Linked DNA regions of Rattus norvegicus. The protein of the gene in region 1 interacts with the protein of each later gene in a pairwise test. Links are inferred from orthologs where the notes say so. Each region holds a gene or a part of one and is shown in the gene's direction. Other genes may lie near its edges.

Evidence for each region.
Region 2: the proteins of Stam2 (region 1) and Abi2 interact in binary tests that used the Homo sapiens proteins (3 or more experiments, as listed by UniProt). The link is inferred for Rattus norvegicus from reciprocal best matches to the Homo sapiens genes STAM2 and ABI2.
Region 3: the proteins of Stam2 (region 1) and Arrdc3 interact in binary tests that used the Homo sapiens proteins (3 or more experiments, as listed by UniProt). The two-hybrid records come from large-scale screens. The link is inferred for Rattus norvegicus from reciprocal best matches to the Homo sapiens genes STAM2 and ARRDC3.
Region 4: the proteins of Stam2 (region 1) and Plekhb2 interact in binary tests that used the Homo sapiens proteins (3 or more experiments, as listed by UniProt). The two-hybrid records come from large-scale screens. The link is inferred for Rattus norvegicus from reciprocal best matches to the Homo sapiens genes STAM2 and PLEKHB2.
Region 5: the proteins of Stam2 (region 1) and Klhl42 interact in binary tests that used the Homo sapiens proteins (3 or more experiments, as listed by UniProt). The two-hybrid records come from large-scale screens. The link is inferred for Rattus norvegicus from reciprocal best matches to the Homo sapiens genes STAM2 and KLHL42.
Region 6: the proteins of Stam2 (region 1) and Dazap2 interact in binary tests that used the Homo sapiens proteins (3 or more experiments, as listed by UniProt). The two-hybrid records come from large-scale screens. The link is inferred for Rattus norvegicus from reciprocal best matches to the Homo sapiens genes STAM2 and DAZAP2.
Region 7: the proteins of Stam2 (region 1) and Entrep1 interact in a two-hybrid assay, tested with the Homo sapiens proteins (2 studies listed by BioGRID and IntAct). The two-hybrid records come from large-scale screens. The link is inferred for Rattus norvegicus from reciprocal best matches to the Homo sapiens genes STAM2 and ENTREP1.

What each region holds. Positions count from the first base shown.
Region 1 is NC_086021.1:57,640,952-57,645,397, reverse strand, and holds the start of Stam2 (signal transducing adapter molecule 2), read left to right. Parts: upstream 1-1,482; 5' UTR 1,483-1,588; coding exon 1,589-1,628; intron 1,629-4,446.
Region 2 is NC_086027.1:69,319,635-69,324,207, forward strand, and holds the start of Abi2 (abl interactor 2), read left to right. Parts: upstream 1-1,570; 5' UTR 1,571-1,746; coding exon 1,747-1,863; intron 1,864-4,573. UniProt on the Homo sapiens protein: Regulator of actin cytoskeleton dynamics underlying cell motility and adhesion. Functions as a component of the WAVE complex, which activates actin nucleating machinery Arp2/3 to drive lamellipodia formation.
Region 3 is NC_086020.1:12,871,698-12,876,032, forward strand, and holds the start of Arrdc3 (arrestin domain-containing protein 3), read left to right. Parts: upstream 1-1,504; 5' UTR 1,505-1,740; coding exon 1,741-2,020; exon of another isoform or gene 2,021-2,985; intron 2,986-3,196; exon of another isoform or gene 3,197-3,333; intron 3,334-4,221; exon of another isoform or gene 4,222-4,335. UniProt on the Homo sapiens protein: Adapter protein that plays a role in regulating cell-surface expression of adrenergic receptors and probably also other G protein-coupled receptors.
Region 4 is NC_086027.1:44,543,901-44,548,281, forward strand, and holds the start of Plekhb2 (pleckstrin homology domain-containing family B member 2), read left to right. Parts: upstream 1-1,572; 5' UTR 1,573-1,668; intron 1,669-2,676; exon of another isoform or gene 2,677-2,835; intron 2,836-4,381. UniProt on the Homo sapiens protein: Involved in retrograde transport of recycling endosomes.
Region 5 is NC_086022.1:181,755,135-181,758,516, forward strand, and holds the end of Klhl42 (kelch-like protein 42), read left to right. Parts: exon of another isoform or gene 1-120; intron 121-643; coding exon 644-1,095; 3' UTR 1,096-2,796; downstream 2,797-3,382. UniProt on the Homo sapiens protein: Substrate-specific adapter of a BCR (BTB-CUL3-RBX1) E3 ubiquitin-protein ligase complex required for mitotic progression and cytokinesis. The BCR(KLHL42) E3 ubiquitin ligase complex mediates the ubiquitination and subsequent degradation of KATNA1.
Region 6 is NC_086025.1:133,592,074-133,596,526, forward strand, and holds the start of Dazap2 (DAZ-associated protein 2), read left to right. Parts: upstream 1-1,463; 5' UTR 1,464-1,573; intron 1,574-1,628; exon of another isoform or gene 1,629-1,697; 5' UTR 1,698-1,862; coding exon 1,863-1,875; intron 1,876-3,023; coding exon 3,024-3,142; intron 3,143-3,827; coding exon 3,828-4,073; intron 4,074-4,453. UniProt on the Homo sapiens protein: In unstressed cells, promotes SIAH1-mediated polyubiquitination and degradation of the serine/threonine-protein kinase HIPK2, probably by acting as a loading factor that potentiates complex formation between HIPK2 and ubiquitin ligase SIAH1.
Region 7 is NC_086019.1:231,031,201-231,034,982, reverse strand, and holds part of Entrep1 (endosomal transmembrane epsin interactor 1), read left to right. Parts: intron 1-2,735; coding exon 2,736-2,864; intron 2,865-3,782. UniProt on the Homo sapiens protein: Functions as an activator of the E3 ubiquitin protein ligase ITCH in the ubiquitination of the CXCL12-activated CXCR4 receptor. Thereby, triggers CXCR4 endocytosis and desensitization, negatively regulating the CXCL12/CXCR4 signaling pathway.

The sequences.
Region 1 (4,446 bases):
TGTAGTCTATATTGTGGATAACTATATAGATTCACCTGTCTGTACCATCATTCCTAGCTATAAAAATCTTTTAAATTAAAAACAGAAATTATGTGTTTGCGATGTGTGTGAGTTGGAGGGTTCGTGCTCAGGATACTGCCAAAGTGTGGGGGCAGGGGATACCTTTCCCGAGTTCGTTCCATCCCCCCTGGCTTCTGGAAATTGAACATTACTCTTCAGGCTTGGGATAGGACGCCGTTTTACAGTCAAGCCGTTTCATTGGCTCAAGGTGTCAGCTTCAGATGTGGGCTTTTCAATTCAAAAGTCAGGGCTACATTCTAAAAGCATTTATCGATCGACTTCTTGCCGGATACTGTGTTTTAGATTCTGGGTCCGCATAGTGAACAGAACTCATGGAATTTATAATCTAATGAATAAAGATACTACAATTATCTGTACCTTGGAGAGTGATAAATGATAGAAACAGATACGAGCAGGATGGAGAAGTACAGGGCAGTGTATTGCAGGAAGGGTGTTTGTACACTTATTTAAATGCTGGAGCCAGTGGGAACCTGAGTTTATGACTCTTATAACTAAGTCATTATAAATGTTTTTGCACTGCAAAGCTTGAGTGTACTTCACTCAAGTGCTGGGATTAATGGCGTGGGCCACAATACCAGGTATTAGATGTTTAATTTTATACTTATGCATGTGGGTATGGGACCATAAGTGTAGATGCTTACAGAAGACAGAAGAGAGGTGTCAAGTTCCCTGGATCTAGGCATTCAGGCTGCTCTAAACCCTGCCTCCCCAGTATACGAGAATCTAAGCAGCAAGCGCCCTTAATTGCTGAGCCACCTCTCTAACCCCTTCATTCGTCTTTATATTCCACAGTCCAAACTGTGTTTTCATGCAGGAGAAATGAGAAGCAAGGAGTCTCTCCGTAACCGCTTTCCAGGGTGACTATTTAGGCTTGTTTAACCGAAGGATCCTATGAGCATCTTCAACCCAAGCGGCAATTCTCAGCACCTCTCATAGGGCAGCGGCTCTGTTTCCATAGCAACCAAGACGCGGAGCGGGTTCGGGGTCGGAGTAGCAAGACCAGACCTGGCACCCAGGAAGTACTCGGATAAGAGAGGAGCGGCTGGCATAGCCTGGGGCGGAGGAAACGACATTCCAGAGCCGCGCACCTGGCCTCACTTCTCTGGATCTGCAGGCTCTCCGGCCTCCAGCATCTCCAGCTGCCACAACTTCCGGCCTCGAAGCCCCTCCCCCCGGCTCCGTGGCTCTCCCGGGTCCTCACTGCGGAAAGGTGACTGTGGCGGCTGCCGTGCCTGATCAGTTGTCGGACCAGGGGCTGTCGCGTCCTTGGAACAGCAGTGAGGCCATTACAGGGTGCTAGCACTCAGCGGAGCGTTCTGCGGTCCCGCCGACGGGGCTGGGGCAGAGGCGCCCAGGCGCGGAGCACGCAGGCGCGCGCGGGGCAGGCACGGCGGCGGAAGTGAAGGCACGGCTCGGCCAAGCGGTCTAGGAAGCCGCGGCCGGTCGCCCAGCGGGGGCAGTCGGAACCCCGCCAGACCGTCGGGATTCAGCTCCCGTTGCCGGCGCAATGCCTCTGTTCACTGCCAACCCATTCGAGCAAGATGTGGGTGAGTGCGGTGCCCGGCGCGCTGGGTGCTGGGGAAAGTGGGCGGCGGCCCGGGTGCCTAGGAACCTCGGCAGAGAGCGAAGGGGCGGCGCCGTTCTCGACGGCGGGGGGCAGCCTCGGTGTGTCTCTGGCTGGGCCAACTCCTGCCTGCTGGAGATTGGGGTACGGGGCAGGGTTGTTCCCGGCACACAGAGCAGGAGTGGGGAAAATCCAGGTTCATTGGAGGCTTAAGTTGTTGATACAAACTTCCTGCTTTCTCCCGAGCTAGTTAACACCCTTCCCTTTGGAAGAAAGTGCAGTAGTGTGACACCTTGTTTGCTGCCCAGGGCAGTCTCGAACTAGAAGCCTAGACTTACTAGGATTAACTTGCACCGCTTCCGTAAGCACACATCTAAGTCCTGGTGGTTGCAGTTTCAGTGTTTATTGACTGTTGTGAAGGTGCTGCGAGAGCCAGGCTCAGAGAATGAAAAGGAAAACTCCCCGAATCTTTAAATAGCCCAGAACAACCGCTGTTAGTTGGAGTCAAACTTTACTCTGGTAGCGCATGTCTTTCAGAATGAGAAAAAAGATGGATAGGGTACGACTAAATCAATAATATCAACAGTAAAAGCACTGGCTAGCACCATTTTTTGTGGTAGTAGTTAACAGGCTTCTAGTGAGGTTTTTGAGATTTAGAAATTTCCAGTCAAACAAAAGTTTAGCAGTGAGCAACCAGTTTGTTCAGTTAAAATTTCTGCTCAGTTACGAAAAGACTAGAAAGTGCTTCATCTTGTTAGAAGTCTCAAAATCAGGGGTTGGGGATTTAGCTCAGTGGTAGAGCACTTGCCTAGCAAGCGCAAGGCCCTTGGTTCGGTCCCCAGCTCTGAAAAAAGAAAAAAAAAAAAAAAAAAAGAAGTCTTAAAATCATGTTCAGATCAAGTGAGTGTCTAATCTAATTATATAGGAAGCATGTTGAGGCTTAGTCACTGTTTAAGGAATAATTAATTGTTCTTTTGTAAGGATACCTACGTGAGACATTGGACTTTTTGAGTGTTACTGGACTAATTGAGTTTTGAGACAGAGTGGAGTCTCTATACAGTCTCGGCTGGCTTCAAATTCCTAAAACCTCCGTCTTCGTACAGAGAATTGTGGGATGGCGGGTCTCGGTGGGCCTCCGCCCTGATTGAGACCTGTGCTTCTTACTGTTAGTGTAAACACTTTCGTTTTGCTCTAATGAAATGAATGTGAAGAAGCCAAGTAGAAGAAGTTATGTTATTTTTCTTTATTAGTTTGTTATTTACATCCGTGGGTGTTTTGCCCACATGTTATATTTATCACTTGTACGCGGTGCCTAAGGAAGCCAGAGGCCAGTGGCAGATTACCTGTGACTGGAGTTACCCACAGTTGTGAGACAGTTGTGAGCCGCTGGGTGGGAGCTAGGAGGAGCTGGGAGGAGCAGGGAGGAGCAGGGAGTGCTCTTAACCAAGCCATCTCTCTAGCCCAAGACAGGTTATTTAAAATATAAAACCTGTGAACTTTCTTTATTTTTTAGAGATAGGGGTTTCTCTGTGTAGTCCTGGCTGTCCTCGATCTCTCAGTAGATCAGGCTGGCCTTGAATTCAGAGATCCAACTGCTTTTGCCTCCCAAGTGTTGGGATTAAAGGTGGGTGCCACCATGCCCAGCTTAAAAGCTGTAAACTCTATCCTCAAGGGAAAGTTTCCTAGAAGCCTGCTGTTTTCTTTTTTTTTTTTTTAATGTTTTTTTTTTATTTATTTATTCATTTATTATATATAAGTACACTGTAGCTGTCTTCAGATACACCAGAAGAGGGCATCAGATCTCTTTACAGATGGTTGTGAGCCACCATGTGGTTGCTGGGATTTGAACTCATGACCTCTGGAAGAGCAGTCGGGTGCTCTTAACCGCTGAGCCATCTCTCCAGCCCTTTTTTTTTTTTTTTTTAAACATTTATTTATTATGTATACATCATACAGCTTTCTGCCTGCATGTATGCACCTGCAGGCCAGAAGAGGGCACCAGACCTGATTATAGATGGTTGTGAGCCACCATGTGGTTGCTGGGAATTGAACTCAGGACCTCTGGAAGAGCAGACAGTGCTCTTAACCACTGAGCCATCTCTCCAGCCCAGCCTGCTGTTTTCTAATTGGAAACCTTCTGCTGTAAATATTAGGAGCTGCTCTGCCCCGTTTACTTTTCTTCACATCCTCCTCGGTAGTTTCTGAAATCTTTGCCTCACAGCTTAGTGTAGTTTCCTTAGGCTCTGGACTTCAGACAGAAGCAAACAAACAACAAACAGAAAACCTGGGTAGATTATTCCATGGGCTGTGAAATTTGTTTGAGCCCTCTTAGCTGAATGCAACCAGAAAAGAAAATGGGACGACATTCTGAGGAGCTCAGATTGCTCTAAAACCAGTATCAGGAAATTACGTGTTTTTCGGACCTTAAGGACTCTTAATGTGAAAGAGTTAAGTAATGCAAAGCAAGCCATTAGCTGATTGAGCATTTTACGGCAGTATCTTTATTACTGTAGTCTGTGTGTGTATTACCTGTGTTCACTCTTCATTCAGCCAAAATGCATGGGATGGTTACTGTGGATCAGGTGTTGTATTATGTTCTGCAGAGACAAAAATGAGTACGTATGCTGAGTTTTTGCTCACAAGACACTCGAGTCTAAGGAAGGACACATGTTCCAGTAGATAGTCGTACTGTAATGTGTACTGTAATATGATTAATGTAGTTTGATAGATATGGGGAATACTTATCCCCTCCACTCCTTGACTACAAGTTATTGTCTCTGAAGTCAAGACAAGCAACTCTG
Region 2 (4,573 bases), on another chromosome or scaffold:
CACATGGTGGCTCACAACCATCTGTACTGCAATCCCACACCCTCTTCTGGTGTGTCTGAGGATACCAACAGTGTACTTATATACATTACATAAATAAATCTTTAAAAAATTCTTTAAAAGTTTTTTTTTTATTTATGTGTGTGTTTCTATGTGAGAATATGCCACATGAGTCCACCAGTGGATGCCAGAGCAGGGTGTTGGATCTCCTGGAGCTAGGGTTAAGGGCTATTGTGAACAGTATGACAGGGATGTTAGGAACCAAACTCTGGTCCTCTGGAAGAGCAGTTCATGCTCTTAACTACTGAGCCATTTCTCCAGCCCAACACAGGTTTTTGATCTACTGAAGTTTGTCTAAGAGTCTGATCTGAAGTTTGGAGTTTGTTTTCTTCAGCTGTTTGTACTTTCATTTCCTGAACTAAGTGTATGTGCCCTATACATAACTATCTCCCTATATACTCTTTAGGTTTCTCTTCTTTCCCCTCCAGCTCTCCCTTTTGTTTTTCACAAGCTTCTCACACTTAGAACATTCACGCTAAGACAGGTGTCTAAAGTGGTCAACAATAGATCCAGCTGGACCATATCATCATTTAAAAATACTGTTTTAGGCTCTGCTACAAAAGCTCACACACACTGGTAATGTATTTATCATAAAGCTAATGTAACAACACAGGGTTTACTCCACAATTGTGGGGCAATCATATTTATGAAAAAAGATTAGATATACAGATTACAAGATCAGAATGAACTACCTTGAATTTTTGTAGTACTTAATCTGAAAAACGCACATTTGTCAATGTGTGTTTTTTAATTTTATTCATGCGACAACCATGTGAATAAAGAAATTAGTACCAGCAAAGCTACCATCGAAATTTTGAAAAAAGTCAAGTGAGAAGGAGGCCCAGGCTGGGCAACTACAACTTGTAGCTGTAATTCTAGCCAGCTCAGTCTACACTGGAGATCATGCCAAGAAGTGGGGACAGGGGGAGGAAGGGAATGAATGAATGAATGAATTGGTTTGGGATTAGGTAACAGTAATTTGTAAAGAAGACGATGAGGTCCAAGGTGGCATTTAGAGCTGCTTGGAAGTTCAGTGGCTCTGCCTGTTCTGATGAGGTGTTATATTTCACAGAGCTTGTGAAGGGGCTGTGTCCTCTCCCTAGGCCTCCACAGGGGCCTGGAAAGCTTCCTTAGGCAGATGACCTCCACAGGGTTCCCGCCCCGGGTGCAGCGCAGAGGTGAAGATGGGGGGCGGCGGCGGGAAGCAGCAGTGGGCAGCGGGAAGCAGCAGGGAGCGGCGGCCCATTCCCGCCCGGCTAACAAAGGCTACTGAGGACTCCCAGAGCCTGGAAGGCCGCGCGGGGCCGAAGGGTTAACCGGGAGCCCCGCTCCCGCGCGCATCCCGGCCCCCGCCCTCCCGTCGCTAGGAGACGCCGGAAGTGGGGGAGGGGCGGCGCGGGTGGGAATCTTTTTCGGGCGCTCGGGGGCGGAGGGAGGGGAGCGCGCGTGCGCGCGCCCGTCCGTTCGCCCGTCGCCGCGGTGACCGTCCTCGCGGCCTGTCGGCTCGCGCCCCGCCTCCGTTCCCGCCGCCCCCTCCCCTGTCGCGCGCCGTGGGGGGTGCAGCTCGCTCCTCCCGATTCCCGCCGCGTTCGCCGCTGCTCCTCCTCTCCCGGGCGTCGCGGCCGCTGCCTCTGCGGGCTGTATGAGGAGGAGTAGGAGGAGGAGGAGGAGGAAGAGGAGGATGTGAAGATGGCGGAGCTGCAGATGCTGCTGGAAGAGGAAATCCCGGGGGGCCGCCGGGCTCTCTTCGACAGCTACACGAATCTGGAGCGGGTGGCCGACTACTGCGAGAACAACTACATCCAGGTGCGACGCGGCCCCTCGCGCGGCGCGGCGCGATAGGACGTGGGGTGTGAGGGGCGCGCGGGGTGACGGCGGGCTGAGGAGGCCGCGCGGTACTAGGTCCCGGGAGCGGCGCCGGGGTGGAGACGGGGCGAGGGCGGCGGCGGCTGGAGGAAACGGGGTCCGCAGAAGGCCCCAGCAGCCCCGTGCGAGTCCCCAGTGCGGTGCGGTGCCGTGCGGTGCGGTGCGTGGCGTCCCGCCCCCTCGCCTCTGCCCCGTCGCCCCCGCTGTCCTCTCCTGTCAGTGTTCCGGATGGCGGGGGAGGTGGAGAGTGGCATTTTCTGTATAACGGAATCTTGCTGGATGGCAGGCTTGTGTGGATCACACAAATTCCGAGGGATCTTTTTTGAAGGGGTCCTATTCCTGCAAACTGAAATGCCTCACTTCTCCATTCCTGCGAATGTACCCTGAAGACAAAACAAAAATTCTTAACCCTTAAGTTTAAACTTAGGTTGTAAAGGGGACATGGTGGAAAGGCTGTCTCTTATTGCAAGTTAATACCATTTTTTTTTTCTTCCCTGTGGGAAACTGATAATGAGCTGCTTTTCCTTCCCAGTTCCCGTTAGAATAGGTGATTTTCCTTTGGGAAAAAGAACTATGACTATTTCCATAAAGAATCAGGGAAACGAACCACATGGTTTAGGTTTTTTTCCCCATGATGGTTGGTTTGGCACAGGGACTCCTCTGTGTGTGTGTGTGTGTGTGTGTGTGTGTGTGTGTGTGTGTGTGTGTGTAGGAAGGTGAGGAGGGGGGCGGGGCATTGGTGAGATGAGAACCAGCTGGTCATGGGATAAATGTAAAAATTTTGTGGATTAAAACAACACTTTAAAAATTAACTCATGGTTTGCAAATCTAGTATCTCGTTTTCTGTAGGGCTTATACTGAATTACAGGTTGTGCCTACATTTTTTTTCCCCACTCCCATTTAAATTCTTTGGATAAAGTGGAATGTAAGCATGGTGTTAAACGATTACCCATATTTTAATGTTCTTGTTCCTACCTCCGTCTCTGCAGGTCTTCTTAACAACAGTTGTATTGGAAAACATTCTCAAATCTTACTATGAATAAAAAAAAAAAAGAACCAGATGCTGGAATTTATAGGTTCTTAAGATTTTTGAGGACCATGTTGTTAAAGAAAATGTGCTTAGATTTTATTTGGTTATAAATGTACTGAGTTCTATTATGTTGTAAGCATTTGGAGGTTTTTTTTGCATTTTTATTAGATATTTTATGTATTTATATTTCAAATGTGGCCCCCTTTCCAGTGTTGTAAACATTTGTATTGAGAGTGAATCAGACATAATTGAATCTTCTCCCCTTAAAGAAGTGGTGGAAAGTGTGTGTTCAGTAGAAAGGGTGTGTGTCTTTGGTCAAAGATAGACCACAGTCCCTCACAAATGTCTGTCAGATCATTTACTAATACAGAGCTATGTAGGAAGTATTCAAAAGTTTTATCGCTTGATTTCCAGTCTTCTTTGGCCCAGAACTGTCGGTGGTGGTACACCCCTAAACTCTTAAGGGGTTTATGATATAGTTCAAGAGACAGATCTGTGAGTGAATCCATAGTAATACGATGATGTGCTATCAGCCCTTCTTGTTGGAGAAAGAAATAGTCTTTCTTTTTCTTGTCATTCCCAAAGTGTAACAACTACTTAACATGGCATTTACATTTTATTAGATAGTGTAAGTAATGTATAGATTTGAACTATGGGGAGGATGTGTAATAGATTGAATGTAAATATTATGCCATTATATGTAAAGGACTTCACCATCCAAAGATGGGGTTGGAGTGGGGATTGGGGTGGAGCAGAAGTGTGTCCTAGAACTAATCCCTATTGTATACTGAGGAACAAGAATAGTTAATTTATACTTGGTAGGGAATTGTGCGCAGAAAGGTGATGCTTATTATTTTCAGGGAGTCACAGCTGCTAGGAGAGGCAAAACCTAAACGACCCAAAGGGCTTATTCTGATGCCTTGCATAGCATATTATGAGAAAGTCTTGTCTGTCAGAAGAGAAATTGGGGAATGGAAAAGTGATTAGATTGCAATTGTGGCCAACTAATAAGAAAAAGGTTTTTGAAAGATGAATGTTACCATAATTTGAGATTATAATGCCACATAAAGGGAAAGTACATGAATGGATAAAGTGGAGAGGTGGAAGAGATCACTTTTGTCTTAGCATTTATAATTCTAGCCTAAAGAGTAACAAAGCTCGTGTGTTATTTATACGTTTTCAATTTTGGTGTTGGGGGCTGTTTTGTGCATGCTGAGAATACAGGCTACCACTGAATTATGTTCCTAACCCACTGTAAAATTACAAATACTTATTTTTTAGAAATGGATTTTGAATTTTAAGCCATCTGTTATTTTAAATTCAGTATGTGAGGTAGAGTTTACATATTATTATTTCTTAGGTCGTCCTCCGTTGTGGGAGTCACTGGATTTATTACTGCAGTACTTTCTCAGGATGATATTTCTTACATGATTTGTTTGTAGTACATTGATAAATAAAACTGGTGATAGTTGATTTGTGCAGTGCCAGCTGTACATTTGGCTGGTTCTTGTGATGGAAGGACTGACCAGCAAGGGTCCTGATGCTGTCTGTGACCCTGTAATACATGAAAGTTAATTGGCAGGATCACTGAGCAAATGGTCAATTAATCTTTTTATGGTG
Region 3 (4,335 bases), on another chromosome or scaffold:
TTCTAGCAAAGTCATGGCTGTTCCACTAGGGGGAGAAAAACACCAGTAGTATTTGTTACCAACCCTTAGCCCAAGGGTTAGGCACTTTACTTACATTATCCACCAGGTGTCAACCGAGAGAAGAAAGTTACCCCCCCCCCCCCCCCGCCTTAAAATACACAAATGTGTAATTTTATGCTTAACAAGCCAAACTCTTCAGACAAACGGCTTGCCCAGTAATTATTCTTGACATAGTTATATTCTAGATTTTTTTAGCTCACATGTCAAGTCAAATAAAATGTAATTAAATAAAAATGTAGATTTTTTTAAAATAAAGAAAACAGCAAAATAGTTCGTTTGTTGTGATTCGCCCTATCCGGATTTACCATGCAAAAAGGATCTGATGTTTAACTATAGACAACCTCGTCCGATTTTGGCTATGCATAAAACAGGATTTCATAATATAGCCATGTTATGAGGTTATGTTGACTGTTAATGATCTTAGTCTATGCCATTACCCTCTAAATCCTGGTGATGTTTAGAACTGCATTTTTTTACTCAAGGCATTGAAAAAAGGAGAAATGTGCCTGTATTTAAAGATGTAGCACGGCAATTAGCATGTTGAAGTAAAAGTAAGGCTTAAAAATTAAGCCTCATTTATGTAACAAATCATACTTAAAAACCAAAAACCACCGTATATGCTTTTCTAGCTAAGACTTTTCAGTCTGTTGTAAACAGTGTCAGCTAAATGACTATGTTCAAACTGTCTCTTATGAGGTGGTAATTAGGGGTGTGAGCTCTATTCTTATTCCTGAGGATACAGAAGTTGTAATCGCGTCATTCTCTGCAATGGAGCAGTAGGTGGTGTCTTGAAAAAGGACTTTTTCTCCCGTCGAGGAAGTGGTCGGGCCTACACACTACACAGACAACTTGGTCGAGTTTGAAGCTGTAGGAGTCTGGGAAGGCAGCTGAAGACAAGAGCTGCCTGGAGCATTGTTCTTTGGCTCCTAAGGCCTTGGCTTAGTCCATTGCCACCCTGTCTACAAAGTCCTGCTTGCTTTTGTTGTTTCTATCCAAGTCAACAATGCTTTCTAGTATGAACAATATTTGTCTGCTTTTTATTACATTTTCTTTTGAAATTCATTAGCTTAGACTGGGGCCACCAGCGGCTTGCCCAACCGGTTTCTCCCCTTCCCCCACGGCTCGCACGTCCTGCGGGTCCGCGGTACGGGCGCACACCCTGGCCTGGCGCCGCCGGGCCCCTCTACCTAGCTCGCGGAGCGCGTGCGGGGCCGGCGCTGCAGCCGCGCGGAGTGCCCGCCGGCCAATCGCTGCGGCCCATGCACCGAAGTCAGGGACGCCGGCTCCACACCTACTGTACCGGGAGCGCGCGACGAGAGGGAGGCGCGCGCCTCGCGGGAGGGAACGCGCAGGGAGGCTGGCTGCAGTCGCGGCCTGCGCCTGCGCACTGGGGTTGTTTTTCACAAAGCTGCTCTTAAAGTGAGCTGGCAGCCTCCAGCCGCCCGTCTTTGTAAGGAGACCACTGAGACGAGCAGGAGCGTGGAGCAGCGGCTTCTCTGCTGCCCTGACTTTTTAAGAAATCTCAATGAACTATTTGTAGACAATCACTGATCCTGCCTGCAAGATTTTTTTTTCTTTTGCACGGCAAAGACACCGATCAGTGTTAAGTGAAGATCACATCTTATATGCGATCTTGACTTTTTTTGGTCTTATTATATTTTTATAGATTTTGTTATAATCATGGTGCTGGGAAAGGTAAAGAGTTTGACAATAAGCTTTGACTGTCTTAATGACAGTAATGTCCCCGTGTATTCTAGCGGGGACACTGTCTCAGGAAGGGTAAATTTAGAAGTTACTGGGGAAATCAGAGTAAAATCTCTTAAAATTCATGCAAGAGGACATGCGAAAGTACGCTGGACTGAATCAAGAAACGCCGGCTCCAATACTGCCTATACACAGAATTACACTGAAGAAGTAGAATATTTCAACCATAAAGACATCTTAATTGGGCACGAAAGAGGTAAGTTTTTATATTAGTCACTACATTCTACTTCTGTGCATGAGAACTTTAATCTCCTTTAATGCAGTTCTAGTCGGCAGTTTGATGAAGGTAGCAAACTTAGAAGATGTAGTTTCTCCTTGACGTCCAAGCGTGTTAAGCTGTAATCCATGCAGGCGTCTGCAAAGTGAGTGCAAACTGCACTTAACTTCATCTGTAACCGGCTTCATATCTGCCATACGCACCTTATAACGTGTTCAAATGTGACTCCGTCGTTTTACTGATATTTTCAAATTCATTTGCAAAGACTGCAGTCCAATGTTGGATTTCTCCTTTTATTTTACAATCTTAGATACAGGAAGGAGCACCAATAAAGAACTGTAGTGACATTTTAAGAAGGTTGCTAGATGTATCTGCTTTTGATATTAACGTGCAAACGACTTTAAAGACTTGATTATTGTTCTTTGATAAAGGGTTTCCCTGGCTTATTTTGACATATGGCATCAACACCCCCACGTGTTTTCCCATTTCTCCCAATTCCTTTTAAAATGTACATCAAGCACCATTTATTTTAAAGGATAATATCTATCATTATGCAAACTATTAAGTCAGTTTAGAAGCCATTCCGGGTCAGTACTTTTCTTCTCGGAGCATCATGTCTAACTTTGGAACGTGGATTCAATGAAACCCATGGCAGACAGATGGAATTGAAAAGTATATGGCACATCGGATTTGGTTTTTGGGTACAAGATGAAGATTAAGGCATTGTCAAAGGGACAAGAGGTCCTAAGATTTGCGATCTGTTGTTTAAGTGGCTACAATGTGGAAATATAGGCGACTCCAAGCTTGTTTTTCTAAGTTTCCACCCTTTGTTAGAAGCGGTTCAATCCTGTTTCGGACCAGTTCTGGGGGATGGTGAGGAGGGGCGCTTGTTCTGCTCTCAGCAGATTGGTTACACGCGTCAGGTGGTGGCGATGACTTAATTCCTAGTCCAAGAAGAATATAATGTTAAAACTGGTTATGTAATTTGTGTTTCTTCTTTCTAATGCAGTATTTTAGTGCAAATACTGGCGATTTTTCAGATAGAGGCATGCTTTTTTTTTTAAGTATCTAAAATATACATCCTAGGGAGACGTTAATTGAACTTAACGCAAGTGAGAAATGGAGGATGCTTTAAGTTACACAGAATTAATGTACCGTCTTTTAAATATAAAGGTGAAGCCAAGTCTTGGGGTTTACGCAGCTACACCGAGGTGTTCTACATGCTGAAATGGTTCCCTAGTTCACCTTCCGCAGCGTCCACACGAATGGGCCATACAGTACCTAATGACAGCGCTCGTATTTGTTTTTTAAAAAGGGCAGATCCATGAATTTGCTTTTGAACCTGCTTTGACGTCGCACCCTTTAAAAACATAAGAAGAGACAAAGGCTTTTTCCTCGAAGAGTTAAGACTTGTAGTAGGGGGGAAAGAACGAGTTCTGTGGACACACACTTGATCCGTTGCACCACGATCTCACAGTTAAGATAACTACCTGCGCCCTGCGAGGTGCCCCAGCAAGCCTGGCTACGCGTGGACGGGCTCTTAAGGCTGGAATAGTTTCAATGACTTCAAACTGGCAGCTCGCTCAAACTAGCCTGGTAGCTGAGCGCCCGCCCCGGGCGCCCAGCGATAGGCGGAGCTGCGTTTGTTAGCCTGTTGCTAAGGCGATGCCAGGCGTTGATTGGACTGGGCACGGGGGGGGGGGGGCGAGGGGGAAGTCGAGCCGGCTCGCGCCGGCTGGGGCGAGGCTTGGAACCGGCGTGCGCCGGTAAAGGTCTCTCCCGGCCAGCCGCCTCCGCCCCTCGGCGCGCCCCTCTCCGGGTGTCCCAGGCCCCTCGCCCACTGCAGCCGCCGCAGGTTTCATTGCCCTGGGCTCAAGCTCGGTTAAAAATCCCACCAAAGGCTGATCGAGGTGCGGGCGCCAGGGTACCCCCGGGGCTGGTACCTGTGTGACCCGAGGGGACATGACACAGGACAGATAGGGGAGACATCACCGGCACCAACTGGGCCTCGCCCATTGTTCCCCGGGGCCTCCGCCTCCGCGCCGCCGCCCCAGTTCCCCCTCGCTGTAACAGCGAAGGTGTCAGGGTGGCCTGAGCCAGATTGAACCGGTCACCGGCTGGGGCGTGGAAAGCGGAAGCTCGGCTTGCTGTGGCTCCGCCTCCGGCCCAGCATTCTAGGCTGCTCGGGCGCGAGCGCCGCGCGACGTATGCCGTATGTATAGCGGGGCGCGCGGAGCGCGGCCGCGCGCGGGCGGGCCGGCTGGGATCTGCTCAGCGCCGGTTTAGGCCGGTCC
Region 4 (4,381 bases), on another chromosome or scaffold:
TTTCTATTGCTGTGAAATTGTCATGACTCAAAGCAACTTGGGGAAGGAAGAACTTATTTAGCTTATATATCTTGATCACAGTCTGTCATCCAGGGAAGGCGAGGCAGGAACTCAAACAGGGCAGAAACTGAAGCAGAGATGTGGAGGGACCCTGTTTACTGGTCTGCTTTCTTAAACAAGCTATGACCTCCTGCCAAAGGATTTCATCGCCCATAGTGAGATAGACCCTGCCCAAGGTCAATCACGAATAGACAAGATTCCCCACAGATTTATCTGATGGAGATACTTTTCCCTCATCAGGTTCCCTCTTCCCAGATGATTCTAGTTTGTGTCCAGTTGACAAAAAAAAAAAAATCAGTACAACAGCTATAATTCCATTGATGTAGGCGAGCATAGGGCTACCTGATGACCTGCAGACACCTCCCTTCAGTCTCCTTCCCGTGGGGCAACACCCATCTCTCCTGTAGGTAATTTGATGTTAGGCATTTTCTGGTAGAAGGGCAGATGTGGCAGACACACCAGTCCATCTTAAACCACCACTGGGTATACGTGTATGTTTTCCCTTGAAGTGAAATATTAGCGGAAATCTGCTTACTGTTTCAGGTACAAACATGAGAGGGGCACATGCATAAAGCTATAGGATGCACAACCCACCAATCCAAGATGATCCAAAGCTACTTAACATCCTGTAGATCAGGGTAGAGGGTCTACCTAATTTCTCCCTAGGGGATCTGCTCCTCCCTCTATTTGAACTCATAAAACGATCGCTACAAAAGGTCACGGGGGTCTTGAGTCTTACGCTTGCTCAGGCAATTCCCATTCTGGGGAGTGTATTCCATGCTTTTTCTTTCCAAATAAATGTACACTTGGACGACTTCTATTCTGTGCCTTGTCCAATTCATTGTTTGAGACACTAAGAACTTAGAAAAAAAAATGAGACACACAAGGCACTATAATTAAAAGTTTTTTTTTTTTTTTTAAATTTGAAACAGGAGCTTGTGAAATTCTAGAGTGGTCTTGAGCTCACTGTGTAGCTAAAGATGCCCTACTTCATATCTTCTTACCACATCTCTCAAGTGCTGAGATTACGGTTGTGTACCACCTCGCTATCTGTTTTGTGTTTTTGAGACCATGGCTATGTAGCCCAGGCTGGCCTCAAACTTATCCTCCTGATTCAGCCTCCTCAGTTCTGGGATTATAGTCCTGTACTAACAGCCCGGGCTCCTTCCTCCTCTATTTGTTCTAAGCTATAACATTTCTACGTGAGCTATTGCTAATAGTTCCAGTTTTGTTCCTTGCTTGCCGATTCAGTTTTGACATCTCCATCTTCCTGTTTTTAAGCATGAAGTTCTTCATTTCTGGTTCAGAGATGTCCCCAGGCTCATCTTGTATTGTCCTAGTCCGGCTGTCGTGCACCTCTCTAGGAAGGCCTGTCTTTAAACGCCAAGATCAAGATACTTAAACCACCTTTGAACAGATAACAGCCCAGGTTAAGTTCAACTCCTTGGCTCGGGCTCTGGGCCCGGGCGGCACCTGCCTCGCGCGCATGCGCCTGGGCGCGAGGTGGTGACGCAGGACCTGGACTCGCGCGTCCAGCGGAGAAGCAGGAGAAGCCGGCGACCTTGCACTCTCAGCCTGATCCCTGTCTGGCGGCCAGAACATTCGCAGGTGACTGTGCCCGCGGTGTCCCCCTGCGCCCGCGTGCGACCCCTTCCCAGGACCTCCTCGGTCCGAGTACCCTGTTCGGCCCTGCTCACGCCCCTCCGAGGGTAACCCGCTTCGCCAACGCCCCCTCTCCAAGCCTGGCTCTGAGGAACGCCAGCCTTACTGGCCGCGCCTATTTCCTCAGCCCCTTGTCACCTCTTACTCCGTGACTCCCCCGCCCCCCAGCCCCTATTCCTTCCCGCTTACCTAATGTTCCTCCCCAGCTCTTGCCTTCCTTTTCTAGAGTGCCTCCATTCTGACCCACACCCCTCCCTCGTCCCTAATGTCTGCTGTTCTGATCGTACCGTCCCTCCTCTCCAGCTTCTGCCTCTCTCCCAGTATCCATCCTCATTGTATTACCCCAGCCACTCTCTCTGCCTCCTCCCCACTCCCCCGGTGTCCTAATTCTTAATTGTATCCTACCCCGACCCCCAGCTCATGGCTCTTCTTCCCCAGTGTCCTATCCTGACTGTGTTCTCTTCCTCTTCCCGTGTCCTCCCCCTTCCCAATGTCCCCCATCCTGATTGTATCCCTCCCCTGCCCCCAGCTACTGCGTTCCCCTGTGTCCCCATCCTGATTGTATTCCCCTCCAGCTCCTGATTCCTCCCCTGTCGCTTGTGTCCCACATTCTGGTTGTATTTCCCCCTGCTAGTCTCTGTCTCTTCCCCACTTCCTGATCTATCCGCCTAGCTCTTCATAGTCTTCCTTAGGGTCTAGCCCAGCGTCCCTCCCCTTTTCCCTGGGACCTTGCAGGTATTCCCCAGTGTTCCCCACCATAATCTTATCTTCTTCTGACCCAGTAACCAGTCCTTGTACCCCTACCCTTTCCTCAAGGTCCTTTCTGGGTTCCCTAAGACCCACTTCTTGATGTATCCTCCCCAGCACTGCGCATCCCTTTCCCAGTGTCCCCTGTCCTAATGGTATCTTCCGTAGAGCCGCCTAGTCCTGACTCTCCCTCCTCTTCTCCACCTCCCTCGGGTGAGGTGGTGGGGGCTCTTCTGATGATAGGACCAGTCTGATAGCTCCTGTGACTTCACAGGGGACTGCTACTGCCTTGCTAAGACCCCCGGCTTCCTTCTTCCTGGGCTTGCCCTGCTCTGGTGGGCCTTTCTGTTCCTCTGCACTTTCATGGTCTGTATTATAATGCCTTTTGTTTCGGGTGTTTGATTGTACAAACCCTGACTCCCTTTTGTTACATTTTTATTGTTATGCAATAACAATAGTTAGATGGAGGTCAGGGGTTTCCATGCTGGGTAAGCATAATTTGTTGTGTCCAACTCTCAGGGGCAGAGTGACTTGGGCAGAGAGTTCATGAAGGAGTGGAGTAATTGCCAGTGTTTTAGAAAGTCACGGGTTCTAGACAGACTACGTGGCTCATTCAGAGCACACTGACTAATTCCCCCCCGCCCCCACCCCCATGTGTGTTCATCTGACTAGAATAGGTTGAAGAATCCATGCAGGAAGTGACTTGTCCCTCTTTACAGGAAGTGGCAGGGTGGCAGCTGGGATTTATTGCCTACTTTCTTAGGGCAATGAATGTCACTGAAGGAGTATTGACCAAACATGGCTGTGTGTCCACCAGCCTGTGCTGTGGGCTTGCCTTCAGGAGTGAGCCATGTAGCTAGGATTAACCGTTGCCTCTGGCTCCTTCCTTAGGATGCTTAGACTGTTTTGTGGGCCCAGAAGTTTTGACTTTGGGTGGTCAGCAGGATATAATTAGGACAGATGGCTTGAGACTCTAGCCCGGCAGGTTCTTGCCTGAGTTTATCTGGTGTCCATGGTGTTTATTCTCTGTGCGAGTGATTTTCCACCGATCTTCCTCAGGGCATGAACCAAAACTGGGTTATGGTGTTTTCCTGTCAGACACACAGTAGGTGTTCGGTAAATTAAGAGTGTGAGCACATTATTTTTGTAAGTAAATTTCTGGATAATAAAGACTGAATCTATGAAATCAGTTTCTCTCATTATGTCTGTCTTGTCTGCCTGTCCCAATCCCTTTCTATCTCCTATCTCTCTAGCTGGAACCTGACCCTTTAAGTTGTAGTTTATGCAGAGAGCCAGTGATCTGAGAGGGAGGCGCATTCGCACCTTTGAACACCCTTTTGTAAGTCAGCTGCAGCCAGAGGTGTCACAAGGAAGGGGAAACAGAGGCAGCCTACCATGCCAGCCGCTTAGTCCCTGAGGTCTACGGTGTCTGTCACCTCTCCTTACCATCCACATGGTTGCATTGGTTGCATTGCAGGCTCTCTGTTTAACTTGGTTTGGACACTCTTAAGGATGCTGAGTCCTGCGTGCCTCCCTGTGCCGCCTGGACCAGGGGTTAACTCAGAACCGCAAACCTTGAATAGGGTGTGTGTGCAGATTCCTTTCTGTGACACAGACAACCAGTGTGGCCCTGTGCCCTCTAAATATGGAGTAGATAGGGTGCTGGTATCTGCCTTTCCTGACCTTTTTCATTCCCTGTGGTCAGTAATGAGTCCTATCTATCCGTTGGTCCTGTACTGTAGGGTGGTGGCGTCCTGCTGCTGTGGTGTGTAGTTAGTGCTCAGTGTGGCTTCATACGTGTAAGGAGAAAGATGTTTGCAGCAGTAAGCAGTTATGCTGTTGAGATGGGTGAAAACAAAAAGAAACCAGCAAAGTTTCCCTGAGGCCTGCAGGGCTCACGGAGCCGGGAGGC
Region 5 (3,382 bases), on another chromosome or scaffold:
TCCCCCCACCCCCCAAGCACGCATTCCCAAGCAGGCAACAATGTTTCAGTGCTGTGAATCCTGTTTGTTCAAGTCTAATCAGATAGGACACCAGTCTGGGGGGCTCATCTGGATGTCCAGGTAGATGTACCACCATTTTGCTAAGTAATAAGTTTTACAATGGGGGGTTTTCCATTTTGTGTAAAGCAGCATAGGTCACTGGGGTTCAAACCTCTGACAGCTAGAGCTTCTCATTAAAGCACAGAATCTGCTACAGTGTTGAGAGCTTGCCCCGAGGTAGGCTGCAAATCAGGGCTTGCTGAGGTTAACGCTTCTCTCAGAAGACATGGGGTCTTACTCTGAGGTACAGCATCTAAGCATAGCCATCTGTCTAAAGCAGCATCTACAAGTCGTGTTCAAATCAAAGCTGCCCGTTTCCAGGCTGCCCTCAACTCAAGATCCCCGTTTAGGATTTCCTAGTGCTGGGATTACAGGTGTGAGCCACCATGTCTGGCTTTGTGGGTCTGAGGTTCCCCCAAGAAGGGGGTGCCTGGGAGGAAGGTAGTGGGGGAGCATTCAGCTGACCTCTGCCCCATCTGCTTAGAAAACCCTTTCTCTATCCCCTGCCTTTCCAAGTGAGCTTCAGCCTCTTTGTGTGTTTCAGATCGCAACATGAACATCCTGCAGTACTGCCCCTCCGCTGACCTCTGGACGCTGTTTGAGACCTGCGACGTCCATATCCGCAAGCAGCAGATGGTGTCCGTGGAGGAGACCATCTACATCGTGGGCGGGTGTCTCCACGAACTGGGGTCCAACCGCAGGAGCAGTCAGAGCGAGGACATGCTCACCGTGCAGTCCTACAACACGGAAACTCGGCAGTGGCTCTACCTGAAGGAGAACACGTCCAAATCAGGCCTGAACTTGACGTGCGCACTACACAATGACGGCATCTACATTATGAGCAGGGACGTCACCCTGTCCACCAGCTTGGAGCACCGAGTGTTTCTCAAGTACAACATCTTTGCGGACAGCTGGGAAGCCTTCAGGCGGTTCCCAGCCTTCGGACACAACTTGTTGATTTCCTCTCTCTATCTGCCCAATAAAGCAGAGACCTGACTGATTCAACAGTACTTAAAAGAAAAATCTGGTTCAAGGGGGGAAAAAAACGAAAGGCAAGCCTTTGAAATATGGACTCCTGAAGAGACAAAGTGGGCTAACGTAGGTCAAGTGGGGAGGACGGCTCTGCTGTAAATAAGCTTCCTTGAGCTAGTTACTTGAAAACGTGGGGTAAAGAGACCAACCGTATTCTTTCCAGATTGTTTTTTTGTACCATGGGAACAAATGTCACGAAAAGTATTCAACCAAACCGAAGCAGTCTTGGGCCAACAACTAAAACCCACCCTTAAAAGTAGACTGCCGGGGTCTGCTTTGAACGGGTCGAGGTCAGTAGCTAAGATCACAGTAGCAATGGCTTTCTTCTGTGTTTTTCCCGTTGGGAATGGAACCCAGGGCCTCACGCGAGTCCCGAAAGGATGACTTTAAAGACACTTGCTTCAGGTCACCTGCGATCTCGTCAGTATGGACTTTTCCTTTTGGTGATCAGCGTTTGACAAGCTTTAGGATCCGCCCACCTCTAGTCTCCTGTTCCCTGTCACCCAGGCTCTCTGGGCAGACATTTTATCCTATATTTGCTTTCAGAAACCCCGACGGGCGTGTCCAACCTTTTGACATTTAGAAATTATCATTCTTTAACTTTGTGCACACTTGAGTTACCTTAAAAAAAAACAAGCCTCTTAATGCTCTAAGTAAGTTCCTGACGCTGTGTTGGCTGCTACATAGCTTTCCTTGGGGCCCACAAGCTGCAGTTGCCTTGCCTGCTACAGAGATAGAGCCAGACAGAATCCACACAGGCAGCCCGTCCATCCAAAAACATGGAGAGACACCTCCTCAGCCTTTCCAGTCTTTGTGCAATTGAGAATGCTGTGTAAGGCAGACTTACCTCTTATCTCGTGTGTGGCAGATGAGGGCTCTGTTCTTAGGAGAGTGCTATAAACATTTTATAAGCTGAGTCTTAAGGGAGAGGGAGTACTGCGTAAGGAAAGATGCCTTTGTGAGTTACTTTTATTGAATATATGTGACTTAGTTCTTGTTTCAAGACAAAAAAAAAAAAAACCCACCCCAACTTTTGCACATTTCCACCAAGTTTCCTCCTAGCTTGGTCTTAGCCTTAGATACATAGCTGTGTTTTGCCTTTTTAAGGGAATGGTGACTTTAGCTGATGTGGTGCTAGAAAGCAGGGGAGATGTTCTTTACAGACGTGGGATGGCCTCTGCTGGCATTTCTGAATTGAAGTGAGGTGCTGGCCTCACAGCTCTCCTGCCAACTGCGGTGAGTAGCCTAAGGACCTGTCAATCATGGGCCTGTGTTTCTTAAAAGACTCAAGGGCCCACTTAGCGTGCACAAGAGGCCCCTGGGTTTAATCTCCAGCACTTACAGCAACAGCAACAAGGTCCTCACCTACAGGGATTTTGATTGAAGAGCTGCTATCTTGTAGTGGAGTCAGCTAAAGGAACCACACCAGCTGCAGGCAGCCGCCTTGCATATTTAAGTATGCTCCATAGAAAAATAATTAGAATTACAGGCAGATTTTCTCCCAGTTCCTTGCACAGCTGCTCACCTGGTGGCTGGGTGTGGGGGAGGGAAGCTGACCCCGAGTAGGTCTTCAGTGTCGATGAGGGAGTCACTTCAGGGTTTCTTTATAGCCATGCCTCTAATACAGCCTTAGAGCCTAGTTATAAAACTCTTACTTGCACAACTGTTTAGCAGCTCAGTCTTTATTTGAGGGATGGTGACGGTTCTTAGTGTCTTGTCAGGATCCAATCAACCTGCTTACAATGCTGTTGGAAGCTTATAGGCCATTTCCAGCCACATCTGTTTTCAAACACTAAGTCTGTTTCTCTCTCTCTCTCTCTCTCTCTCTCTCTCTCTCTCTCTCTCTCTCTCATTTTTTCCTCTTAAGACAGGGTATTGCCTTACAATCCAGGACAACTCCAAACTGGAGAATCTCTCACCTCAGCCTCCTAAGTGCTGGGACTGCACGTCTCTTGCTATTGTGCCTGCCTTTATGTATTAGTTTTCAAACTGTTTTTCTGGGTTCTTTAAAAAATACAAAACAAAACAAAAAAACAAAAACTCTGAACTGAAATCTTCACCAATATGGTACAATGGATTTAATTTATATTCACTGTGGAATTGAATTTTGGGGAGTCTGTAATTTCATTACTGCACTTTAAAATCTAACTTACGTTTGTTCCTATGCATCCTCATTGCACGCAGCCCAGTCCTGAGTTTTCAGAGGAGACTGGAAGTTGAGTTAGCAGTGGACAAAGAAGGGCAATTGTCT
Region 6 (4,453 bases), on another chromosome or scaffold:
TATGGGTGCTTTGCTTTAGATAGTCAAGGAGATGCAAATACCACAGGCTTTATGATACTGATTTAATCCGAATCAAACTAATAATATAAACACATAAAGGGAATTTTTAAAATAACCTAAAAGAGTTCCCAAGCAGCCTTTATTTAGTGCAGCCTATACATGCTCTATGTGTCTACAGGAAAGCAAAATGGAAATCCTGATCCCGGAACCTGGAAGGCAGAACACAAAACTTGAGTCTGTAACCTGCCCTCGAGATCAGTTTTTCTTTTCTTCTCAAATGTTTATTTTTGTGTCTGCGTGAACCTACGACACGCATGCGCAGGTGGTCCCCAGGATGAACCAGATCAGCCTCTGGAAGAGCATAAGTGTTCTTGACCACTGAGCCTCCCCACCAGCCCCATCAGTGTTCTGTTGGAGAAGCAGGGATGCTCAGATAAGCCCGCTTGCCTCTCGGGCTGCTGTGTGGGACTGGATGAAACTGCATTTACAGGACGCCTTGCAAACTGTGATAGTCACCTGACACACAAGCAAGGCCTTCTTGGTGTTGGACGAATCCAGAATCCGTTCACCGAGGGCCTCTCGCTCCAGAGCCTCTCCGTCTCCTTGAGCGCGCACAACACAACTTCTGCAGACAGCTGCGTCGGTTCCTCACTCTGTGCGTGCCCATGAGGAAACGGGAAAAGTGTAATCACGGTCCTAAGAGACGTCGCCTCTACCCTTCAGGACAACTGGGAGTGGGCTAAGGCACACACAACGTCTGTAGGAGACTACAGGCCCCCTTAGGACGTGCCAGGCCAGGGTCAGCCTGCGCGGGGCACGGTCCATCTCAGGGCAGGAGCTTGATGCGGTGTCATGGTTTGTATCAGGGCGCCAAGCAGGGCGCGGGGACACGGTCTACCTCCGCACGGATCCGGGCGCGGGGGCAAGGTCACCGACCCCGGGCGCTGGACCGTCAATAGGAGGCCTGGAAGAACCGGAACGCGGGACAGGCTAGGATCTGAGGTCCAGAGGTGGCTCAGAGCAAGGGCGCCGCCCTAAGACAAGCCCTCTACGAACTTCAGGGCCCGGTGTGAGGGGTGGGCGGGGCACTGGTGAAGGCGGGGCATGCGGGGAGGAAGGGCTCGCGGTGAGGAGGAGGTGCGCGGTGAGGGCGGGGCCACGCAGGGAGGGCAAGGAGGGCGGGGCTACACGATGAGGGCGGGGAGCGCGGTCAGGGCGGGGCCACGCAGGTATGAGGGGCACGGGGTGAGGTGGGGCCGCGCAGGGAGAGCGGGGACCCCGGGGAGCGTGGGGAGGGCGGAGTCACGCAGGAATGAGGAGCTTGGGGTGAGGGCGGGACCACTCAGGGAGGGCGGAGTCACGCAGGGAGGGCGGGGCATGCGGTGAGGGAGGGGAGCGCGGTTTGGGCGGGGCCGCGCGGGAGAGCGGTGTGGGCGAGGAGGGCGGGGCCACGCAGAGGATAGCGGGCACCGGGTGAGGCGAGGCCGCGCAGGAAGAGCGGGGAACCCGGGGAGCGCGAGGAGGGCGGAGCCACGCAGGAAGGGCAGGGCATGAGTTGAGCCTAAAGCGCGAGGTGAGGGGGAAACCGCGCAGGGAGGGCGGGGCCGCGCGGGAAGGAGCTGCGCGAGGTGAGAGCAGAGCGCGCAGGGAGGGCGGGGCACCCGAGAAAGGCGGGGCTGTAAGCGCCCTCCTTGCAGCGACTGGCGGGCCTGCGAGGGGGCGGGGTTTCCGGCGGCAGTGCACTCGGGCATCGACTGACGCAGAGTGGACGGGCGTCACGTGACACGGAAGTGACTCCGAACAGGAAGAGGACGAGAAAAATAACCGTCCGCGACGCCGAGTGGAAGTGGATTAGAGCCACCATGAACAGCAAAGGCAAGGCCGGGAAGCGGCGGAGGTCGTCGGGGACGCGGGCGGGTTCGGGTCGAGTGGGCCCGGGGGCGGCGGGCTCGGGGCGGTCAGGGCCGCTCTCCTCAGCAGGCCGCGGAGCGGGGCCGCACCTGACGTGTCCGCCCCCCCTCCCCCACACACCGCAGCAACTCGGCTCTCCGGGCCCCGGCCCCATAAACTCTGTGGCGCAGTTTGGAGCCGCGGGCTCCAGTGTGTGAGGTGGGGGTGTTTTTCCGTGACTGACACCGGCTGGAGCGAATGGGGAGCTAGAGCAGGGATTTGGGTAGGCCAATGGAGGACCGGCAGAGGCGGGGCGCCGCGCTTCGGAACAACAGGCCTTGGCCGAGCTTAACTCGTGAGGTGCCGGCTCTGCTGCCCAGTCCCGGCCTTCAAGGATCCTTTCCCGCCTGCCTTCGACTTTTCGCGCTCCCTCCTCAGGGCCAGGATTTATAGTCGTGCCTGTGCTAATGTTTGTCAGACCATGGTCGCGTTTACCTCCCGCCCCCAGCCGCCGCCCTTCTCATGGTTAACTTCCATTCACTCACTCTTTGGAAGTCGACCTTGAGTAGGAACCAACCCGTGAGGTAACACGCAGAACCGTGGGTTCCACAGAGTCTGCACTGGTTACCGCACAGTCCGTGGGAGACTACCCGGACTAGAAGTCCCCCCAAAACACCAGCAATCCAGAATCCCCGGCACGGGTTCTCAGACCTGTCCTTTATTTGGGAGGGAACGGGGCCAAGTTACACTTGATTCCTCCATCAGTATGCTAGTGGGAACAGCGCCTTCTGCCCAGTCAGAACCCAGCACCTTCCACTGTGAGGGTGCAGAGACAATCTTTTATTTTCTTGGCTCTAAGAGCTAAGGCCCTGTGGGGCAATCTGTTTGCAATTCTTCTGCTTGAGCTCACCAAGTTAACTGCCCGTTTTACAAATTTTTTTTATTGTCTGTGAATGTGAGGGTAGGTGCCCACAAAGACAGAAGCTAGAGTTGAAAAGAGGTTGTGTCAGATGTGGATGCTGGGAACAGAACTTGGGTCCTCAGGAAGAGTGGCATTTTGTCAGGAGCATCTTTCCTATTTGCCACCTCCCTAATTTGATAGACAACATCTCTCTTCCCCTTTTGTATTCCAGGTCAATATCCAACACAGCCTACCTACCCTGTGCAGCCTCCTGGGAATCCAGTATATCCTCAGACCTTACATCTTCCTCAGGCTCCACCCTATACTGATGCTCCACCTGCATACTCAGAGGTACTGCACTTTGCTAGACTTTTAACTATTTGAATACACTCTTGGACCCCTCCCCCATTGTTAAATCTTCAAATTCAGAAGCAGAGAATGCTCTATGAACCGTCTAAAACATAAGTTAATAATTACCATTGGAATTGAACGCATTATCTGCTTGTTATTTGACATGCTGAGTTAGGCTGAGTTTGGGTCCCTTGAGCCCAGTAGTAGCTGTGGATGCAAATGACCCAGAAACTGTGTGCCAGTGACAGTAACCAGTGTGATCCACACACACAAGAACTGAGAATGGACTCATGAGCCATGCGTGGTGGTAAGACCAGTAGTCTCAGCACACGGAAGGCTCAGGCAGGAGGAGCTTGAGGTCAAGACTGTCTTGGGCTATAGAACCAAACCCCATTTCCAAAACAAAACAAGGGGCTGGGGATGTAGTTGATTTGGTAGAGTGCTTGCTTAGCATGCACCAAGCCCTGGATTTGGTCTCCAGCCCAATGTGAGCTGGATTTGGTGGTGCAGGCTTTTATTTCCATCAGTCAAGAGGTCAAGGCAGGAGAGTCAGGAGTTGAAGGTCATCCACTCCTACATTCTTGCAGGCTAGCCTGAAGTACAGGAGATGGTCTCAGCAATACTTAGAGGAATTTCAAATACCAGTGTCACAGAAATATTTTGCCTTCTCTTCTGCTTCTTTTAGCTCTATCGTCCAAGCTTTGTTCATCCAGGGGCTGCCACAGTCCCCACCATGTCAGCTGCATTTCCTGGCGCCTCGTTGTATCTGCCTATGGCCCAGTCTGTGGCTGTTGGGCCTTTAGGCTCCACGATCCCCATGGCTTATTACCCAGTTGGTCCCATCTATCCACCTGGCTCGGCAGTGCTGGTGGAAGGAGGGTACGATGCAGGTGCCAGATTTGGAGCTGGTGCCACCACTGGCAGCATTCCTGTGAGTATGCCTAACCAAGAGCTCAGCCCTCGTGCACTTGAACCGTCTGAAATGACTTCATACTCATTCTCCTACCATCCCAGGGTAGTAGTAGTCAGGACTGGCACAGCTGCTGCCCTCTCATGACAGAAATGTGGCTGGGCCAATCAGGGCATTGGGCACAGTCCTTAGAGTTAATCAGATTCATTTGTCTTCTTTTTTCTTTTTTTTCAGAGCTGGGGACCGAACCCAGGGCCTTGCGCTTGCTAGGCAAGCGCTCTACCACTGAGTTAAATCCCCAACCCCTCATTTGTTTTCTTGTCCTATTAAAATCCTGCTAGCGGGCTAGAGAGATGGCTCAGTGGTTGAGAGCACTGACTGCTCTTCCAGAGGTCCTGAGT
Region 7 (3,782 bases), on another chromosome or scaffold:
GTCATCTATTATGTAGCACACCAGTGGCGTCTGGGACAGGAAGCTATAATCTAGAGCTTTTTAGATCTCACACTGGTGGGCAAGAGGCTATACATTTACATGATTTTTCTGACTTAAAACGGGTTTTATAGAACCAGCATGGTGGCATAGGCCTTTAATCCCAGCGCTCAGAAGGCAGAGGCAGGCAGATGATCTCTGTGAATTCAAGGCCAGCCTGTTCTACATAGTGAATTCCAGGGTTATGTGGAGGGAGGGAGGGAGGGAGGAAGGGAGGAGGGGGAGGGAGGGAGGGAGGGAGAGAGAGAGATCACTAGCCTCAAACAAAAACAAACAAAAAAAGAAACAAAACAGAAGACCCACCCCAAATAAATAGTTTTATAAATTGTGGCAAAGTCCATTTTGACCATTTTCTATGTATGGTTCAGTAGTATACATTCAGCACTGTACATTAAACTGCTGTGCAGAGAGTCTCCAGGGCTCTTCATGTCGCTCCATCACCCTCTCCTCCAGCTACTAGCACTCCACTGTCTATTTCATCAATTCAGGTACTCCAGACTAGTCCATACAAATAGAGTCACACAGTGTTAGTCTTTCTGGGTTACTGTCCTGGAGGGATAGCCATAGTATAGTCTGTCAGAATTCCCTTTCTCTTTTTAAATAATTTATTTTTATTTTACCAACCTCGGTGTTCTGACTGAGTGTATGTCTGTATGAGGGTGCCGTATCCCCTGGAATAGGAGTTACTACAGTTGCCATGCGAGCCCTCTGGAAGAGCAGCCAGCGCTCTTAATTCCAGAGTCGTCTCTCCAGCCCCTGGATTCTCTTCCTTTTAAAGGCTGACTGATACTCCATTGTCTGTGTCTGCGAGACACTTTGTCCACCCATCTGTGGGTGGGACCATGGGTTGTTGCAACCCTGTCTGTTGTGTATAAGGCTGCTGTGACCAGGAGTGCACACATGGCCCTTACAAGCCCTGCTGTCAGTTCCTTTGTGTATTTCTGGGTATCTAAACCTTTAAAAAAAAAGACTTCTAGCAATAAATACCTCGGTACAAAGCAGCATGTGTAGACTCTTAACAAGTCATAATAAATCTTATTTATTTAGAACTTGTCCATTGCAGTCTACTTATAGAAACTAAGAGGATGTGAGCCAAGAAGGCTGACTTATTACTAGAAAAACTGTAGTCAACTCTTGTGGAGAAACCCATAACCTTTCCAATCAGAAAACTCCCCAGGAACTCACAAAACCTGCTGTGGTTTCTCACTGTTCTTCACAAATCTTAAATCAAGCGTTAAAACTTTTTGTTCAAATGATAGTGATGAGCACTAGAAGCCCATTTGATGTGACACGAGTGTCTTCAGGTGACGTAGAAAATAGATATTTAAAATAATAGAAGAGGGCATGGTGGCAACCAGTCAGGAAAGGAAGCTGATGCAGTCCCTTCAGTTATGAGGTTCCTTAGTATGAAAGGGCCTTGTATCTGTTAGGGTTTCTATTGCTGTGGTAAAATACCATGACCAAGGCAACTTATAATAGACAGCGTTTAATTGGGTTTGTGGTTTCAGAGGGTTAGAGTCCATGATGGCGGAGGAAAGGCATAGTGTTAGGAACAGCTGAGAACTCGTGTCTTGATTCACAAGTAGTAGACAAACAGGGGAATGCCATAGGCTTTTGAAACCTAAAGCCTGACCAGTGAGTGACATGCCTTCTTCAACTAGGCCACACCCCCTAATCCTTATAAAAAAGTCTACCAGCAGGGGGCCAGGTATTCAAACATATGCTATGGGAGCCACTCTCATTCATAGCTTCAAGGTCGTGCTAAATATAGGTTCAGCATGTTTTTTCAAAGCTCTCCAGAACATGCCAATGTACAGCTAAGGTTGGGAACCACAGTGTTGGGCGCCACGGTGTTGGGCATAACAAGGGAGAGCGAGGATCTGGTAGTATCGGGTAGTGACTTCGAGGCTGAAGGGTGAAAGTTGTGCATTTGAGAAAGTTTACAGGTATTTTTGAGATGACTTAAAGCAATGGAAGAGAACTAAGAACAACTGGAGTTTGAACTCCAGATGAACTGGTCGTGACCTCTTCTGTTGCCATCGGCACGCCTTGTGCAATGGCTGAGACCTTCTTTTACTGTGGAGAATTCACATGTCCATTGGGTATCCTGTCACCTATCTGACAGTCCTGCCTTAAGTGTCAGGTACTCTGAGTTTTCAATCTCTCGGATGTGTCGGTCATTCCACAGCACCAAGATGGTGGATGTTTCACAACTTTAAGTCCCCAAAGGCATATGACAAACAGCCTCATGTTGGCCTGCAGTGGCCTTGTAGCATTTGTAAGAAATGAACTTTGAGGCTGGAGAGATGGCTCAGCAGTTTAAGGTCATGTCCTCCGCTTCTGGAACACTTGCGTTCATTTCCCAGCACACACATTGGATAGCTTAAAACTTCCCGTAAGTTCAGCTCCAAGGGATCCAGTGCCCTCTTTTGGCATTTGATGGCATTACATAGACATACATATACACATACACATGCATATAATATACAAACACACACACACACACACACACACACACACACACACACACACACACTTTAAAATTATACAAATCTTGCCTGAGATTGCCTGACATGGAACTATACCCATCACATTCCGTATGATGCATGCTGTGTGTGTAGCAAGAGTGGTTTTTTCCCCTTAAATAATACAATCATTGTCCTGCATCTTTCCTTGAGGTGGACTTAGGTGAAGGCAAGATCTGCTTCTGTTGTGAAGAATTTCAACCAGCCAAATGCACAGACAAAGAAAATGCCTTGAAACTCTTCCCGGTCCAGCCTTGTAGCGCTGTACACCTCCTGCTTAAGGTATGATGGACAGTTCGCAGGCTCCACAAGAAATCTTCCACAGGGGCCGAAGAAGGCTGCTCCTTGAGATATTCCCATTTGGTGGCTGCCTGAAAATGGCCAGGCTGCTAAAAGCAAGTGTGGGCAGCCCTTCACTACTGACCTGCAGTGACCAAGCAGTCCTTCACTAACCTGCGGTTAGAATGGAGTGTAGAAGAGGTCACGGACTGTGTTTTAAGTTATGTGCAGAGAGATTCCGTTGCATTAAAACAATTACACACTGGTGAAAATGCAAAGGTGGCTAGCTATACATATGTGTGTGTGCACACGCATCTGAGGCGTAGCTTTCAGGAAAGCTGTGTTTGCACACTCAGTCGGCATTGTTGTTCATTTGTAGCGAGTTATATGAGCTTGTTGAATGTCACCATTCTGGGCACATTGACCAAGATCAGCCAGAAAATGACGGGGTACGCCTGAGTTCTTTATAACCTGTTAAATAGTTAACAATAAGTAAAAGAAATTTAGGAGAGTACACCGAGGATTCAAGTCAAAGGGAAATGCAGAATCAGCCTTTACGATGGAGCCGAACCACTGGAGTCTGACTGGAGTGGGTAGAGCTGGTAACCCCTTAGCTGCTGGTTAGAGCTTTGCTTTTCAGGGAGGAGGAGGAAGCTCGGATAGAGAACTCTGCAGAGCTTCAAGGTCTGGGTAGTATAGGACTTAAAAATGACCTGCTTGCTCCGGTTTCTGCATGTTTGAATGTTGAGTCATCTGGAACTTTCTAAGCCTGACTTAGCTTGAGGAAAGCCCCTGAAGGAGCCAGGGCCGTGTCCATGGCAACCTTCAGTGTTGACTTAACTGCTATTTTGAGGAAAGAAGACCTATTTATTCCCTGGTTGCTCCTGGTTCCACACTACTGCCTGTGGCTCCCGAAACAGA